Tamandua tetradactyla: one gene and its partner. The protein of the gene in region 2 interacts with the protein of the main gene of each other region in a biochemical or structural test. Links are inferred from orthologs where the notes say so. Each region holds a gene or a part of one and is shown on either strand. Other genes may lie near its edges. The genes, in order: SARNP and DDX39A.

What was found.
Region 1: the proteins of DDX39A (region 2) and SARNP form a complex in vitro, tested with the Homo sapiens proteins (2 studies listed by BioGRID). The link is inferred for Tamandua tetradactyla from reciprocal best matches to the Homo sapiens genes DDX39A and SARNP.

What each region holds. Positions count from the first base shown.
Region 1 is NC_135333.1:122,802,349-122,809,635, reverse strand, and holds the start of SARNP (SAP domain-containing ribonucleoprotein), read left to right. Parts: upstream 1-4,069; 5' UTR 4,070-4,273; coding exon 4,274-4,309; intron 4,310-7,287. Other genes in the region: ORMDL2 (ORM1-like protein 2), read right to left, coding at 1,530-1,665, 2,258-2,409, 2,604-2,778, 3,878-4,011. UniProt on the Homo sapiens protein: Binds both single-stranded and double-stranded DNA with higher affinity for the single-stranded form. Specifically binds to scaffold/matrix attachment region DNA. Also binds single-stranded RNA. Enhances RNA unwinding activity of DDX39A.
Region 2 is NC_135337.1:88,527,956-88,535,998, reverse strand, and holds the start of DDX39A (ATP-dependent RNA helicase DDX39A), read right to left. Parts: upstream 3,144-8,043; 5' UTR 3,012-3,143; exon of another isoform or gene 2,887-3,011; intron 2,825-2,886; exon of another isoform or gene 2,667-2,824; intron 2,000-2,666; exon of another isoform or gene 1,942-1,999; intron 1-1,941. UniProt on the Homo sapiens protein: Helicase that plays an essential role in mRNA export and is involved in multiple steps in RNA metabolism including alternative splicing. Regulates nuclear mRNA export to the cytoplasm through association with ECD.

The DNA of each region.
Region 1 (7,287 bases), on a different chromosome or scaffold from region 2:
CCCTCCTGCTGACCTTCAGGATTTTTTGAACCGGATCTTTCAAGTACCACCAGGCCAAATGTCCAATGGAAACTTCTTTGCAGCATCTCAGCCTGGCCCTGGGGCCACTGCTCCTTCCAAGCCTAACAGCACAGTACCTAAGGGAGACGCGAAATCGAAGCGGCGGAAGAAAGTGAGGAGGCCCTTCCAACGCTGACACCCCTTCTCTTCTTTCCTCAAATCAGTGTCAGGGAGTCAAAGGGCTGTGTACAGCACAGGATGGAGTTTGATTTGTTTATTTTTAAATATTTAAAAAAGGGAAAAGTTTAAGCTCAAATTGTTTACTTAGTACTTGTAGGAAGTCCCTGAACCACTTGCTCTCTTCCCTCAACACCCAGGAACTGAATCTTGTCTTCTGGCAATACCAAAGAAATAGGAGGTGGCTAAAAGCAAAGAACCTAGGGCCTCAACCTTGACTGGACAATATATCCTATAGTGGTGTGGGAACTGGTTATTTCCCTGGGGTCTGTATGCCTTTGTCCTGTCTTTTGCTTTTAGAGCAGATGACACTTTTTTTCTTTTTCTCTTTTTAAACTGAGTTTATCTTATTTCTTGACCCATTTCAAGAGTGAATTCCCCCACCCTCATCCCTATAGACTAGTTAAAAGACAGAACAAGAAAGCATGTAGCCCAAATTATAGGAGATGTATAGTTCAGAGAGAGAGAACTCTGAGTTCTTCCATCCACTGACTTTCACCTTTGTGTATAATCACCTAATTACAGGCTTGCTGTTGCTGCAGGGATGGCCAAAATTAATCATTTTTTAAAAGCAGACTCATACCCCTCTGCCCTTGGGTGAGGGGGAAAAATAAGGGGGTTCCCAGCAGCCCCCTTATGATCTTAGGGTTTGTATTTTTTAAGTTTGTTCATATTTGTATGTACATATCTATTTAAAGCCAGGGGATTATCTTTCTATAAATATATAACTGGCAACCTGTATTTTCCCTCTCTTCTTTGTCCATTTAACTGTAGTTCTTTTTCTCATTTGAGTACTTTCCATAGTTAGCCGAGAGTGAAGGGCACCCCCTATTGAACCACGGGAGAGAGGATAAAAAGTAGTCTTAGAGAAGTTAATATAGTAAGTCATCATTCTCTCTTTCCCTACTTTTCCTGCCAACCAATTGTAGCCATATCTGAAAAAAAATATCTTTATTATAAGTAAAATACACAGCAAAACAGAGCTGGAAAAGGGGTGTGTATGTGGAAGATATGGAAAATTTAATCACCAAATAAGCTGCACATACATGGTTCCTGCTGTGGAGATTTGGCCCTTGTCTCACCTGCCTTTGCTGATTCAAAGAAACCTACTCCTAGCAGGGTTGGGCCAGGGAGCCCCATTTTCCAATCTCTTCTCTTCCTGGGAGTTTGGGAAAGGTTGTACAGTTCTCAGTCTTTCAAGATGAAGATAATATAAAGAAGGAGGAAGGATGTTAACAGCCCTTGTTCCAATGTCTTCTCCATGCCTACAGAGCTGTTCCCAGTCCCCTCTCTCAATATTTGTTGATCCCAAAGAGACGAACCCCGTGGAATTGGGGCAACTTTGGCAGCAGAACACTGAGTAGCGAGGCTGTGTTGATGAAGAAGTGAGCAGCATCATACTTGGTGTAGAAGCTGGCCAGGAGGTAGCTGGGAGAGAAGAAAAAGAATGAATTCATATTAATGTCTTTTCAGTGACTTTCCTTTTATATTTTAAATTACCAGTTCTACTGCATATAGTCTTAGGACATCTGAAAACATTACAGCCATAGCAACACTATTTATTTTGGGGTTGGAGAGATCTTAAGATAGCACCTTTAACTGGAGATTATAAATCAGATTATGTGTTTCTTCATTGTTAATGACAGGTGGCAAATGACAGCTGAAGCTTTTTCAGCCTATATGAATGTTAAGAGTCTTAATTTGTTTCCAGTCCCCACAGTTTTCATAGATTCACATCAGTCCTGTCTCTATTCACTTCTGTTTGGAAGTGTAAAGTCATTTGATTTTATTTGGTGTTTCATCATTTTTCAGTCCCTTTCCATTCTCCTATCATCAAGGGAGGCAGCAAGGAATGCTTAATTACTAGCTTCTACTTTTTACTTCTTTCCCTAGTAACTAGTATACCATGATATTTCAGATAGGTAGTCTGCTTTAATGCCTCCCTGTGGGTTTTTGTAGCTGGCTTTTTAAAGTGCTTTCCAATTCAGCATTGCCCATTACCCCTCCTTTCCAAACTCACAGTATAATAGGAGAGATGCTAAGGAACTTGCGGGAAGAGGTAAACTGGAGCCCATAGTCCATCTGCTCCCAGTGTGTCAGGAGCCGTGCCTTTCCTTGGTCAGGGGTCTCAAAGGGTGTACCTTTCACCGTATGTAGAAAGACATACATAGCCTAGGAGAGAAGGGACAGGGTGAGGGGAATAGAAAGTAGTCCTTCAACTCAAGAATTCTGCTAAGGTAGTAAATGGTTGATTCCTAAAGGAAGGCAAAAATCCCCAAATAATTGGGAATTTTATTATTTATTAATTGATTTATTTTTGTTGGGGAAAGCTTGGGGTGGGTGTAAGAGTGTGGTTTAGTGCTTACCAAGTTATGAATGACATTGGTCAGGGTCCAGACCACAGGAATGCTGAAGAAGGGGATGCTGAGTAGAACTACATGCAACAGTCCTACCAAGATGATGTAGGCCAGCCAGATGCCACGGCTATTCATCACTCGAGTGTTGGGATTTACTTCACTGTGTGCCACCCCCACATTCATCCTATTACAGTTGGAGAATCAGGCAGAAATATAGTTCAATTTCCTCTAAGCTCCTTTTTTTTTTTTTTTTTTTTTTTTTTTTAAAGGAAAGACAGAGAGAAGGAAGGAAGGATAGAAGGAAGGAAGAGAGGAAGAAAGGGAAACATCTTTTAAACATTTTCTTGTTTTATTGTATTTTGTTTCTCCGTTTTCGTTACATGGGCTAGGGCCGGGAATCGAACCGAGGTCCTCCGGCATAGCAGGCAAGCACTTTGCCCGCTGAGCCACCGCGGCCCGCCCTCCTCTAAGCTCCTTTGAGCTTGTTTCCCAATTGTTTCCTGAATAGCCAAACCCCCCTGAACTCCACTGAGAATGAAAGAACTTTCCAATCATGCACAAAGGGAAAACTATAGTCTTGGGGAAAATTTTCAAAGGCAAGAAGCTCACCCTACATTTTAGAGACATATTATTGTATTTTTTCTGATTCTCACAGTTCAACTTAATGTGAAGTATCATGCCTAGGCTTGGGGTACCTGCTTCAAGGAAAAGGAGACACTTAGGAGTATCTCACTTTATTATCCTGAAAAAGTTAATAAATCAAGAGAAGTTACAAATCTAGATTTCCCAGAGGGTCCTGGGATTCAATCAAGGAGGGCTGAGGAGGTAAAGCTACTCCTAGTTCCCATCTTCTCCTCTGGGGCTTGTCCACCCTGTCTCATTTCCTTTGCACGTAAGGAACAAACATCCTCATTCCTTCTCTCAAGCGTGGGGTGCTGCAGGAATTTCCCCCTGGGCTTCTAAAGGACTAGAAAGGGACCCAAGTTCAATACCTCGAGGCATGGAGCCCTAGCCCCTACTCTAGGGTCGGTTCTGGTCCTCTGAACTCAGCTCTAAAACAGTGCAAGTAAAGCTGACGACTGGTTAGGAAGTGGCCCTTGCCTGCCACCCCTCTATCTAAAATTCCCTAAATCCTAATATTGACCCCGTCCCATGCTCTTCCTGGCTTCCCTCTATTATTAATCGATTCCCCTTAGGGAACCCTTCAGAGCACCTCCGCCACTTTCCTTTTGTCTCTCCATTTTTACTCAGTACCCTCTTTCCAGTCTCCCGATAACGCCTACCTGCCAGCTTCAGTGGCCCGTCCGGCCTGTGCACGGCGCTCGCTTCCACACCTCTGGTCTCCAGGAAGCAGCAGTCCTCCGCCTATTTGCATTCTTCTTATTGGTGGAACAGAATTAGCGCTGCCACCACCCATTGGTTGGCGGTGTGCAATGGAACACACAATTGGTCGCCATTTCCGTCATTTGGAGGGTGCAGAACCGGTCCTTTTCCCAGTCCCACCTTTTGAGAGAGGTGGGGATAGTTGAGGAGGGAGCTAGAGCGACGTCAGCTATTAACTAATGGGAAGAGCTGATGGTGTGGGGTGGAAGTAAGAGTGACAGCGATTGGTCGGTCATGGTTCTGCGCCTAGGCGGGAGCTCCTGGAGGCGGAGGCAGCGAGTGGAGGGGGTAACAAGATGGCGGCAGAGACGGTGGAGCTGCATAAGCTGAAGGTACTGCGAAGCGGGGCAATGGTTGGGTTGGACATTTCTAGCAGCTGAGTTTTGCACGGTGGGCTGTGCCTTCTTCTCGTTCTCTCTGCAGTCTTTTCTTTTTCGTTTTCCGGCTCGTTCCGTAGTTAGCTGGTTTTTCTTTTGTGCTTCCCTTCTTCCCCGCTACGCCTTCCCTAATTTCCCATTTCTCCTTGCGGTTTTACTGTTATCTTTATCTGTTATTTCGGCGCCCTGGCTTTCTTGGCTGTACCATCCATCACCTCCCTTTCTCGTCTCTTGTCAGCGCCCCATTACGTCAGGGTTTTTCTTCTCATCTCCTCTTGCCGGAACCAGGACCCCTTTTTCTTCCTTGGGTTGATGTTTCCCTGTCTGTTGTCTATAGCTGAGATTTCCCTGTTAGCTAGGCACCTTTGTTTATTTCTGAGTCCCAAATGTGATCCAGAAAATGCTTCCACTCCTTTTTCTAGTGGGTTTACGCCCCCTTGAGTGAACTTTGAACCCTAAGGCCTTAGGCCTCCGGGTTGAGGCTTGGGCTTCAGGAGGGTTTAAGAGTTAGTCAGTGCACTGACACCTTAGATTTATAAGTTTTTCGAGTTGTCTCACTTACACCCTCCCACCCCCCACCCCACCCCCCCGACAGCATACACATACATGCTTCCTCCGAGAGAACTTACAATAGCAGCCCTGTAGAAAAACAACTCCAAGGCTGGGGTTGTTTTTGTCTCATTTCATATCACCGTTAGATCCTGCATCTCTTGGTGTCACTATTTGGTGGCACTTCGAATCACAGAACCTATTTCAAGTTCTGTGTCAAGTTCTGTGTCTGTATCAAGATGTGTCTTTTGGGAATCTTGATAGCTTTTTCACACTTAGATTATCATTTACCTGGAAGAAAAAGTAGGTTCTTTTAGGGTGAATTAAGAGAGTGGCTTTATTAGTTGGCCGGTTGTGGCTTCACAGATAGTTTTCTCATCACATGTTTTGGTCACTTAATCTTGGGTCTTTTGGACAAACCAGGCTGATTTAATCCACAGCTGAAAACTGATCCTTCAGAGCTTGATGACCAGTAGTTTAAGGGGGAGAAGAATAGGGAGAGAACTTCTTTAATCACATGTTAGTTGACACTAGTTAGCCTTTCTTTGAAAGCTGATGTATTTTTAACCTTGGATTCTAAATTTTATAGTGAGTTTTTTTGTTGTTCTGGAGTTACTGTTAAGTTGGTGGTACTGAAACATGTAAATTATATCAGTGTTCTAATATTTATCATGATGAATAGAAAAAAATTGAGCAGTCATTGCTATTATGTGTATACTTATTCATATATAAATTACATAGATACTACTGTATTGTTATGTATGTTATAAAATATACATTAAAGAGAATTTTTGAATGAATGGGCTAAAAAGGAAATATGAATTGAAGATCTAGTATTTTCTTCTTATTTATCCCATTTTTGAAATCCCTGGAGTAAATTACTAGCTTCCCCTGTGACTTGCTTTTATGGATGACAAATCTGTTAGATCTGTATTAAATTTGCATTTGTTTGGTTAAGTCACTTTTACAAAATGTCCTCTCATCTGATTTCAGGCATTATAATTTAAGAGAACTTGAGGCACTCCCGACAGCCTGAAAAGGACTCACTCTTTTAATCACATTTGCTTGTCTTTGCTTTTTCTCTAGAGCACTTCTTAACCTTTTGGAGGTCACAGATATCTTTGAAACTCTGATGAAAGGTATGGACCCTTTCCCCAGAAAAAGGCATGTACACGTATTTTGCATGCAATTGAGGGGCTTCATAAAACTACTTTGTAGCCCTAAGGAGTCCATGGACCTCTGGTTAAGAACCCATACCTTTAATTCTGACTTCCAGGTTAGTTAATGTGTGGTTTTTCTGGTAATTTTGATGGAATAATCCTGACTTTTGCTTTGACTTCAGGTTTTCTCTTTTTAAAGAAAGTCTCCATTTTTATAAGGGACTTTAGCATGGGACCTCAAAGGAAGGGAAGAAACTTTGAAACAGAAAGAAAAAATATATATTATCTGTTCGAATTGATGTGAAAGTCCATATTGACTGCTGACTTCTGAAGTCTGAAGATTTTACAGAAATGTGGTCATTTTAACACAACTAGAAAGAGAAAGAATTGTGGATGAAAATGTCTTTTAAACTGTAACAGTACCAGATTTCCAGTCAAATGTGGAAAAAAGGGTTCTTACAGAGGGGAAAACAGTGAGTCATTTGTATCATTGAAGCATAATGTACCCATTATGAGTGGTTAGAGGTTGGAAGGAAAAGTAGGTGAACTATGTGCCTATAAAGGTTGAGTAAGTGATACTATAAAGGGTCTTACCAAGTCGTGTAGGGCATATGGCTTTTGTCGTGTAGGCAGAAGGGGCTAGTCTTTGGAAATTTGAAAGGAAGAGCCTGATGTGACCAGTTTATTTTCTGTTGGTAGTATGGAGAATGGAGTCTGCAGGGGGAGCGATTTCATCAGTTAGATGTTTAGTATAATAGTCACTACTCTGCATAAAACTTTTTATGATATCCCTATTGGTCTCTCCAGCTTCGTTTCTCACAGCCCAACCACATTGGCCATATTTGTTTCCTCATAATATCTGTGTTCATTAACAGTATTGATGGAAGCTGTTTACATATGATAATTGATTGGTTGAGTTCTCACAATAGCCTTAAAAGATAAACGTCACTATTATACTTTTTTTTTTTTTTTTTTTTAAAGGAAAGACAGAGAGAAGGAAGGAAGGAAGGAAGAAAGGGAAACATTTTCTTGTTTTATTGTATTCTGTTTCTCCGTTTTTGTTACATGGGCTGGGGCCGGGAATCGAACCGAGGTCCTCCGGCATAGCAGGCAAGCACTTTGCCCGCTGAGCCACCGCGGCCCGCCCCTATTATACTTTTTAAGATGAGATAACCCAAACTCAGAGAGATTAAGTAACTGATTGAATGCCCTAGCTCACACAGC
Region 2 (8,043 bases):
CTGGACTCCATACCTCCACCCATCACCCTAGTCCAAATATTTGGTGCTTTTCCCCACCAAATACAATCGGCCTGGTCACAGCCACCCAGCACTTCCAGCAGCTTCTCACTTTTCTCAGTGCAAAACCCCAATTCTTCAGCCCAGCCTTTACAACCCTCGCCCTGGCCCAGCTGACCTCCTCCCCTACCAATCCCCTTCAGACAGCCCCAGCCTCATTTTGCTTCTCAGACTCACCATCCCACCCACCCCCCACCAAGTCTGCCACTGCTGCTGCCTGGAATGCTGCTCCCAGGGCTTTGCAGGGAGGCCACATCCTCAGCTCCAATGCACTCAGGCTGCACCCAGCCATCGCTCCCCAAGCTCCCTGCTGGGCCTGCAGGACAGCCCAGCCCCTGGCCTTGTCACCCTCCCCAACTTCCTCCAGGCCCAATCCCAGCTCTTTAAGCACCGCTATGCTGATGCCTCCCAAAGGTCTGTCTCCAGCAACAACTTCCCACCTGAATGCCAGACACTACCCAGCTGCCTCCTCCAGGTCTCCCCTTGGAAGTTGAACTCAAAATGCTCCGAACAGAACTGTTTCTCCCTGAAGCCTGCTTCCCCCACCTCGTGAAGGACAACTCCATCCACTCCATAGTTCTGTCTCTCTCTCGCTTCCTCCCTGTCCAATCCACCAGAAAAGTCCTTCCCAGCCCCTTCTCACCCCTCCTACCACACTGACTTCAGCCAGCATCGCTACTCTCTCATAAAAAAAAATTTATTTAGAACAGTTTTATTGCTCACACGCCATATAACTCAGGGAAGGAGAGGGTGAACAACCCACAGATGAGCCATCCCGTTATATTTAAAGTATATAACGTAATTGTCTTTCGTATATTCAGAAACAAGTTTAGAATTTTAAAACATTTTCATCACCTAAAAAGAAAGCCTGTACTCTTTAGCCATCACTCCACTATACAGTGTACCCCATCTCAAACAACCAGTGATCGTTCTGTCTCTATGGATTTGCTTATTCTGGACACTGTGTATAAATGGAATCATACAATAGGTGATCTTTTGTGACTGTGCTCTTTCACTCAGCATCATGTCTTCCAAGTTCATCTATGTTGTGGCACACATCAGAACTTCATGCATTTTTATGGTTGAATAATACTCTGTTGTCTGGATGGACCACAGTTTATCCATTTGTCAGTGACAGACACTCGGATAGTGTGGCCTGGTTTATGCCAGTAGCTTCCATACAACCTCCCTGCTTTCTTTCTCACCCCTTCAACTGACTCCCCCACAGCAGCAAAGCAAGCCTTTTAAAACCTGAGCCGGGTCATATCACTCCTATCTTCAAAATCCTCCACTGGCTCCCATCATGCCTTCTTCTCCTACACAGATGAGCCGACTCTCAATGCTCAGACCTCATCTCCCCCATGCCCCTCATTCCCTGGCCTCAATGCTGTGCCTCAAGTATGCCTCAGTGCCTCTGCTGCTCCTACTGCTGGGAACTCTCCACCCACAAATTCACAGATCTTTCCCAGTTTATTCAAGCCTCCACTTAAATTATGTCACTTCAAAAGGGCCTTCCCTGACAGTCCCAACTGAAAGGACCCCTGCCAGTCACACCAGCCTAACACCTTACACATTTGTCATTCTCATCCAACTAGCTGGTCTGTTGACTGTTGCATCTCCAGTGCCTGGTACACATAGCCTACCCTACCCAGGCACTCACTAAACAATGGCACGATTATGAGCTAAAACAACTATATCTCCTCTTCTGATTTTTTGAAGAGGCAGCATCAAGGCTGGATGGCATCCTCTCTCAGGTAGCAGGAGAAAGAACAGGAGCCAAGAAAGGTGAGTCTAAAAAGCATCAGAACTTTTTGGGGAACGCAGAGTAGGACAATACAAGACAAAGCTGGAGATGCTCATCTGGCCCAGGTTATTTGTACTTACCACTGATCAGGTTTTGGAATCGAGTGACTCAACCAGGATTTCCCAAGAGTAATTTAATCTGAAAGTGAGGACGAGACCAAGAGCAGGGAAAACCGGTCATGGAAATGAAAGAGAATTAACCAGGGTCGGGACACTGAGTAGGGAAGGAGAAGGTGAACAACCCACAGATGAGCCATCCCCTGGATGACCCAAAGAAACATAAGACCCAGAATCATCTACCCTGGGCTTTGAACTCTGGTGACCAGGAGGCAACAGCGTATTTAAAAGAAATAGGGAAGCCAAACGGAAGTTGTTTATTTTGGTTTTGGTGGGGGGGTGAATTTGCATGGGGACAGACGAGTGAAGCACAAACATTTTCAGGGGGTGGCTAGACAGGGATCTCAAGCTCAAAACAAAATAGATCAGGAGAGAAAACACGGCGGGGTTGTGTCCCGCCCAGAGGGAATGATGCGGAGACTGAGTCCCGAGGGGATGAATTTAAAGGCTGACGCGGGGATGAAAAGACAACCCAGACACGTCGCTAAGTGCTACGGGGGGCTTCCTTTCCCACTGGGGACTTCTATTTCCAAAAGAACGTCTTTTCTGCTCCGAAGGTCGAAAACCTCGAATCGCCCCCAGCCCCACTCCCCACAAGGTAGGGCAGAAACAGAATGGGGGTCGTGGGAAGGGGGAGTCCTTCGGACTCGGAGAAGCCCGTCCCATCTCGAAGCTTCGGCTTCTCTTACCGCTGCCCCACCTCCCGGACCTCCCGCCCAGAGGCACCGTGAAGTCTGTGAAAGAAGGTAAGCTCGTTCTCACGGACTGAGCTAAACTGGGGCTGCCCGTGGCGGCCATGGCAGCCGTTCCCGGAAGCAGCCCCTCGCGCCAACGGCCGGCCCGCCCCCTCGCGCATGCGCCCCTGCGCCCAACGGCTGCGGCGCGCGCGCACCTCAGCCGCCCCGCCCCCACACCCCGGCTTCGCGCCCCTTCCTCCTCCTCCTCCCCTCAACCCCCGGCGTCTCCCCTAGCCCGCTCGTTCGCAAGTCCCGGGCCACCGGACGGCCACCCCAGGCCCCAGCTCCGCCGCTCACCTAGTGCTTTGTTCGCCTTCGCGTGCTGGGAGAAGAACTGACCGACTCTGCTTATCAACCGCGCGCCCCGACGCGAACCTCGGCGCTTCCTGCCTTCCTGCGGCCGACTACAGCCCACTCACTGGACCGCTGCCTTTTCATTCAAAGGGAGCCGGGGGCGGCGATTGGGCCATCCGGAGACCTCTGAAGGCGATTGGTGAAGAGCGGTAAGAGGGCGTGCCCCACTCCTCACGTTCATTGGCCAATCTAAAGGTAGCCCGCCCGAACGGACTGGTGGGGGTGGGAGCCGGCTCGCGCGCCGTCACGTGACCGGACGTCCGCCCTCGGTGTGAGCAGCCATGCTTAGTACTGGCGGGCGAAGCCGGGGGTGCTTGACCTGTGGCGGGGGCCCTACCCTTAGGAAACGTGGCGTCTGCGCTGGGCGCGGAACCTTCTCAAGTGTTCATCACGAAGTGGACATCAGTCTGCGGCTTCGTGGTCCTCCACGGCAGCCTCTTTGAAAGGGCTCTGAGGAGGGCTGAGAGTAAGGGGTTCCTCAGGTCGTTAGGGTTTGAGAAATGGTTGTACGCAGCGGTTCCCATTTGTCCAGAGCAATGACCTGGGTCGGACACTGCCAGGCCATGGCAAGTGTAGGCCACAAGACACAGCTTTTTTTTTTTAGGTCTTGAAACTCTGTGTTAATTTTACTTTTTCCTAGTATTAATTTCCCCCACCCGTTTATCTTTTTTTACCAGTAAGCTGCTGAAGTACAACTTAGAGTGAAAGGAACAGATCAGTGAATTTTGATCGATGCACCGAGTGACAACTACTTCGTTGAAAATGCAGAGCAGTTTCCATCACCCCAGAAAGTTCTCTTGTGCCCCTTTCAAGTCAACCTCACCCCCATCCCCCTCCAGGCAACCACTATCCACGTGTCTGTCACCACAGATTAGTTTTGGCTGTTCTTGTTTCATATAAATGGAATCATACAGTGGGTTGTCTTTTGTGTCTGGCTTCTTTTGCTCAGCCTAATGCCTCTGCGATCCATCCTTGTTGCTGGGTCTATCCGTGGTTGGTTGTTTTTGATTGCTGAGTAGTATTCCACTGTGGCTATACTGTAGTATAGGCAATATAGTCTCTTTATTCACCTGTCAAGGGATATTTGTTTGTTTCCCAGCATTTGGTCATCATTTAAAAAGCAGCTAAAACCACCCTGGTACAAGCTGCTTTGAGAGCATAGGTTTTTCATTTTCTGGAGCAGACACTGAAGAGCAGAATGGTGGGCCATTCACACATGGGTGTGTATGGCTTCAGCTTTAATAGATACTGACCATTTCCAAGGTGTTTTTTCCATTCTGCACTCCCACTAGCAACTGTGGAAGTTCCGTTTGCTCCCACACCTGGTATTGTTGGTCTTTTCCCTGATTTGGGGGTGAGGGAGTGAGTATATGCGATAAACCGGCTCCAGTATTCCCATCTCCCTAAGCCCGGAGCACTTTCCTCCATAACCTTCTGGAGAAGTTCTAGCATGTCAGTTTCATTTAGTGTAGGCTGCCTTTGGGTCTAGATTTCAGACTACAAAGTCTGAGAGTTGATATAGGTCAAAAAGCCCAAAGAAGAGGAACCAGTCAATCCAAGCCAACTGGTGGAAAGATTTGAATGATATGAACGTGTCATTTTATGTCTTAATTACTCCATGCACTTGTATAGCACTTGTTATGTGCCCAGCAGGGCCAGGACAGAAGTGAGCCAAGCGAGGCATTCACCCAGGAGCAAAATTTAAGAGGGTGCCAAAACCTCAGCAATCAAGATAAATCTATTTTTTTTAATTTTTTATAGAGAAATGTCCATACACATACAGTCCAACTGTATTACACAATCAGTGACTCAGCATATCATCACATAGTTGTGTATTCTTCATCATGATCATATTTAGAACATTTGCATCACTCCAGAAGAAATAAAAAGAAAAAAAAACCTCATACATCCCATACCCCTTACCCCTCCCTCTCATTGACCCACAGTATTTCAATGTACACAGTTTTTACTCTTTATCTCCCCCTAGTATTTATTTATTATCTTTTTTTTTTTTTACTCATCTGTCCATATCTTGGATTAAACAAGCATCAGAAACAAGGTTTTCACAATCACACGGTCACATTGTAAAAGACTGTAAAATAGTTATACAGTCTTCTTCAAGAATCAAGGCTACTAGAACATAGTTCAGCAGTTTCAGACACTTCCCTTTAGCCACTCCAATACACCATAAACTAAAAAGGGATATCTATATAATGTATAAGAATAACCTCCAGGATAACTTCTCAACTCTCTTTGAAATCTCTCAGCCACTGAGACTTTATTTTGTCTCATTTCTCTCTTCTCCCTTTTGGTCAAGAAGGCTCTCTCAATCCCATGATGCCGGGTTCTGGCTAATCCTGGGAGTCCTGTCTCACGTTGCCAGGGAAATTTACACCTCTCAGGGTCATGACCCATGTAGGGGGGATGGGCAGTGAGTTCATCTGCTAACATGGCTTATAGCGAGAGAGGCCATGTCTGAGCCACAAAAGAGGCTCTTTTAGGCATAATTATCAGTAGGCTTAGCCTCTCCTTTGTAGGAATAAGCTTCATAGGGGTGAGCCCCAAGATTGGGGGCTCAGCCGATTAAATTGGTTGTCCACACTGCTTGTGAGAAAATCAGGAATTCCCCAGATGGGAAAGTTTAATATTTCCTCCTTTCTCCCTAGTCCCCAAGGAGACTTTGCAAATACTTTTTTATTCCATGCCCACATTACTCTGGCATGTATTAGGGAATCACACTAACCTGTATACAATAAGATCTCATACCCTATTCAAGATTCCATGTAATTACGGTGTGTGCTGGTTTGAAAGGATGTATGTCCCTTAGAAAAGCCATGTTTTAATCTAATCCCATTTCATAAAAGCAAAAGAATAATCCCTATTCAATATTGTATGTTTGAAACTGTAATCAGATCATCTCCCTGGAGATGTGATTTAATCGAGAGTGGTTGTTAAGCTAGATTAGGTGATGACATGTCTCCACCCATTTGGGTGGGTCTTGATTAGTTTACTGGAAACTGTTTTTTTTTTAGCTAATAATGTATTTATTGCAAATTCATCCAACAAAATCAAATAGTATTTTTAATATTACATCTGTTTTTTTATTATTAATTTTAAATTAAAAGAAAATTACAAGAAAGAAACACAAACATTTTTTAAACTTTTTTTATTAATTAAAAAAATTAACAAACAAAACATTTAGATATTCCATTCTACATATACAATCAGTAATTCTTAATATCATCACATAGTTGCATATGCATCATTTCTTAGTACATTTGCATCGATTTAAAAAAAGAAATAAAAAGACAACAGAAAAAGAAATAAAATGATAATAGAGAAAAAAAAGACTATACATACCATACCCCTTACCCCTCGCTTTCATTTACCACTAGCATTTCAAACTGAATTTATTTTAACATTTGTTCCCCCTATTATTTATTTTTATTCCATATGTTCTACTCTTCTGTTGATATAGTAGCTAAAAGGAGCATCAGACATAAGGTTTTCACATTCACAGAGTCTCATTGTGAAAGCTGTATCACTGTTCAATCATCATCAAGAAACATGGCTACTGGAACACAGCTCTACATTTTCAGGCAGTTCCCTCCAGCCTCCCCACTACGTCTTGAACAACAAGGTGATATCTACTTAATGCATAAGAATAACCTCCAGGATAACCTCTCGACTCTGTTTGGAATCTCTCAGCCATTGACACTTAGTCTCATTTTACTCGTCCCCCTTTTGGTCGAGAAGGTTTTCTCAATTCCTTGATGTTAATTCTCAGTTCATTCTAGGGTTTTTCTCAGTTCCTTGATGCTGAGTCTCCGCTCATTCCAGGATCTCTGTCCCACATTGCCAGGAAGGTCCACACCCCTGGGAGTCATGTCCCACGCAGAGAGGGGGTGGGTGGTGAGACTGCTCGCCGTGTTGGCTGGAGAAAGAGGCCACATCTGAGCAACAAAAGAGGCTCTCTTGGGGGTGACTCTTAGGCCTAAATTTTAAGTAGACTTGACCTATCCTTTGTGGGGTTAAGTTTCATATGAACAAACCGCAAGGTTGGGGGCTCAGCCTATAGCTTTGGTTGTCCACACTGCTTGTGAGAATATCAAGAATTCAACTTGAGGAACTTGAATTTCTCCCCATTCTCACCATTCCCTGAAGGGGGCTTTGCAAATAGTTTTCCACTCACTGATCAAATCACTCTGGGATTCATCGGGGCATCACTCTGGGCAAACCAACAAAATCTCATGTCCTACCGGAGATTCCAAGTACTTATGACATTCAATCAAACTATCTACATGAGTTATATTAGGAAATGCTCTAGTCAAAATCTAAATTTTGTAACAAATAAACATTTTTTGCTTTAGTCTCACACATAAGGTGACATTTTAAAGTATTAATTACCATCTATTTTTCAGCACCCTGCAATAATGACATTCCTTTGTTCTTCCTCATGCAAAAACATTTTTAAAATTTGACATTGTACATTTCACTATTATTATACACTCTAGGCATTCCTAGATTATACCATCTCGATCTTTAACATCTATCTTTCTTTCTGATTTCATTTATGTCCCCAGCCCTCTTCCCTCTATCATTCTTACATGCAACTTCATTCAGTGTTTTAACATAAATTATATTATAGTTAGGTAGTATTGTGCTGTCCATTTCTGAGTTTTTGTATCCGGTCCTGTTGCACAGTCTGTATCCCTTCAGCTCCAATTACCCAATATCTTACCCTGTTTCTAACTCCTGATGGTCTTGAAACACAAACATTCTTAACATATGCTCGTTCCGTTCTACATGTATAATCAGTTTACTGGAATATTATAAAACAGGAAACATTTTGGAGAATGGAAGATTCGGAGAGAGCAGAGAATGCTGCAGCACCATGAAGCAGAGAGTCCACAGCCAGTGACTTTTGGAGATGAAGAAGGAAACGCCTTCCAGGGAGCTTCATGAAACAGGAAGC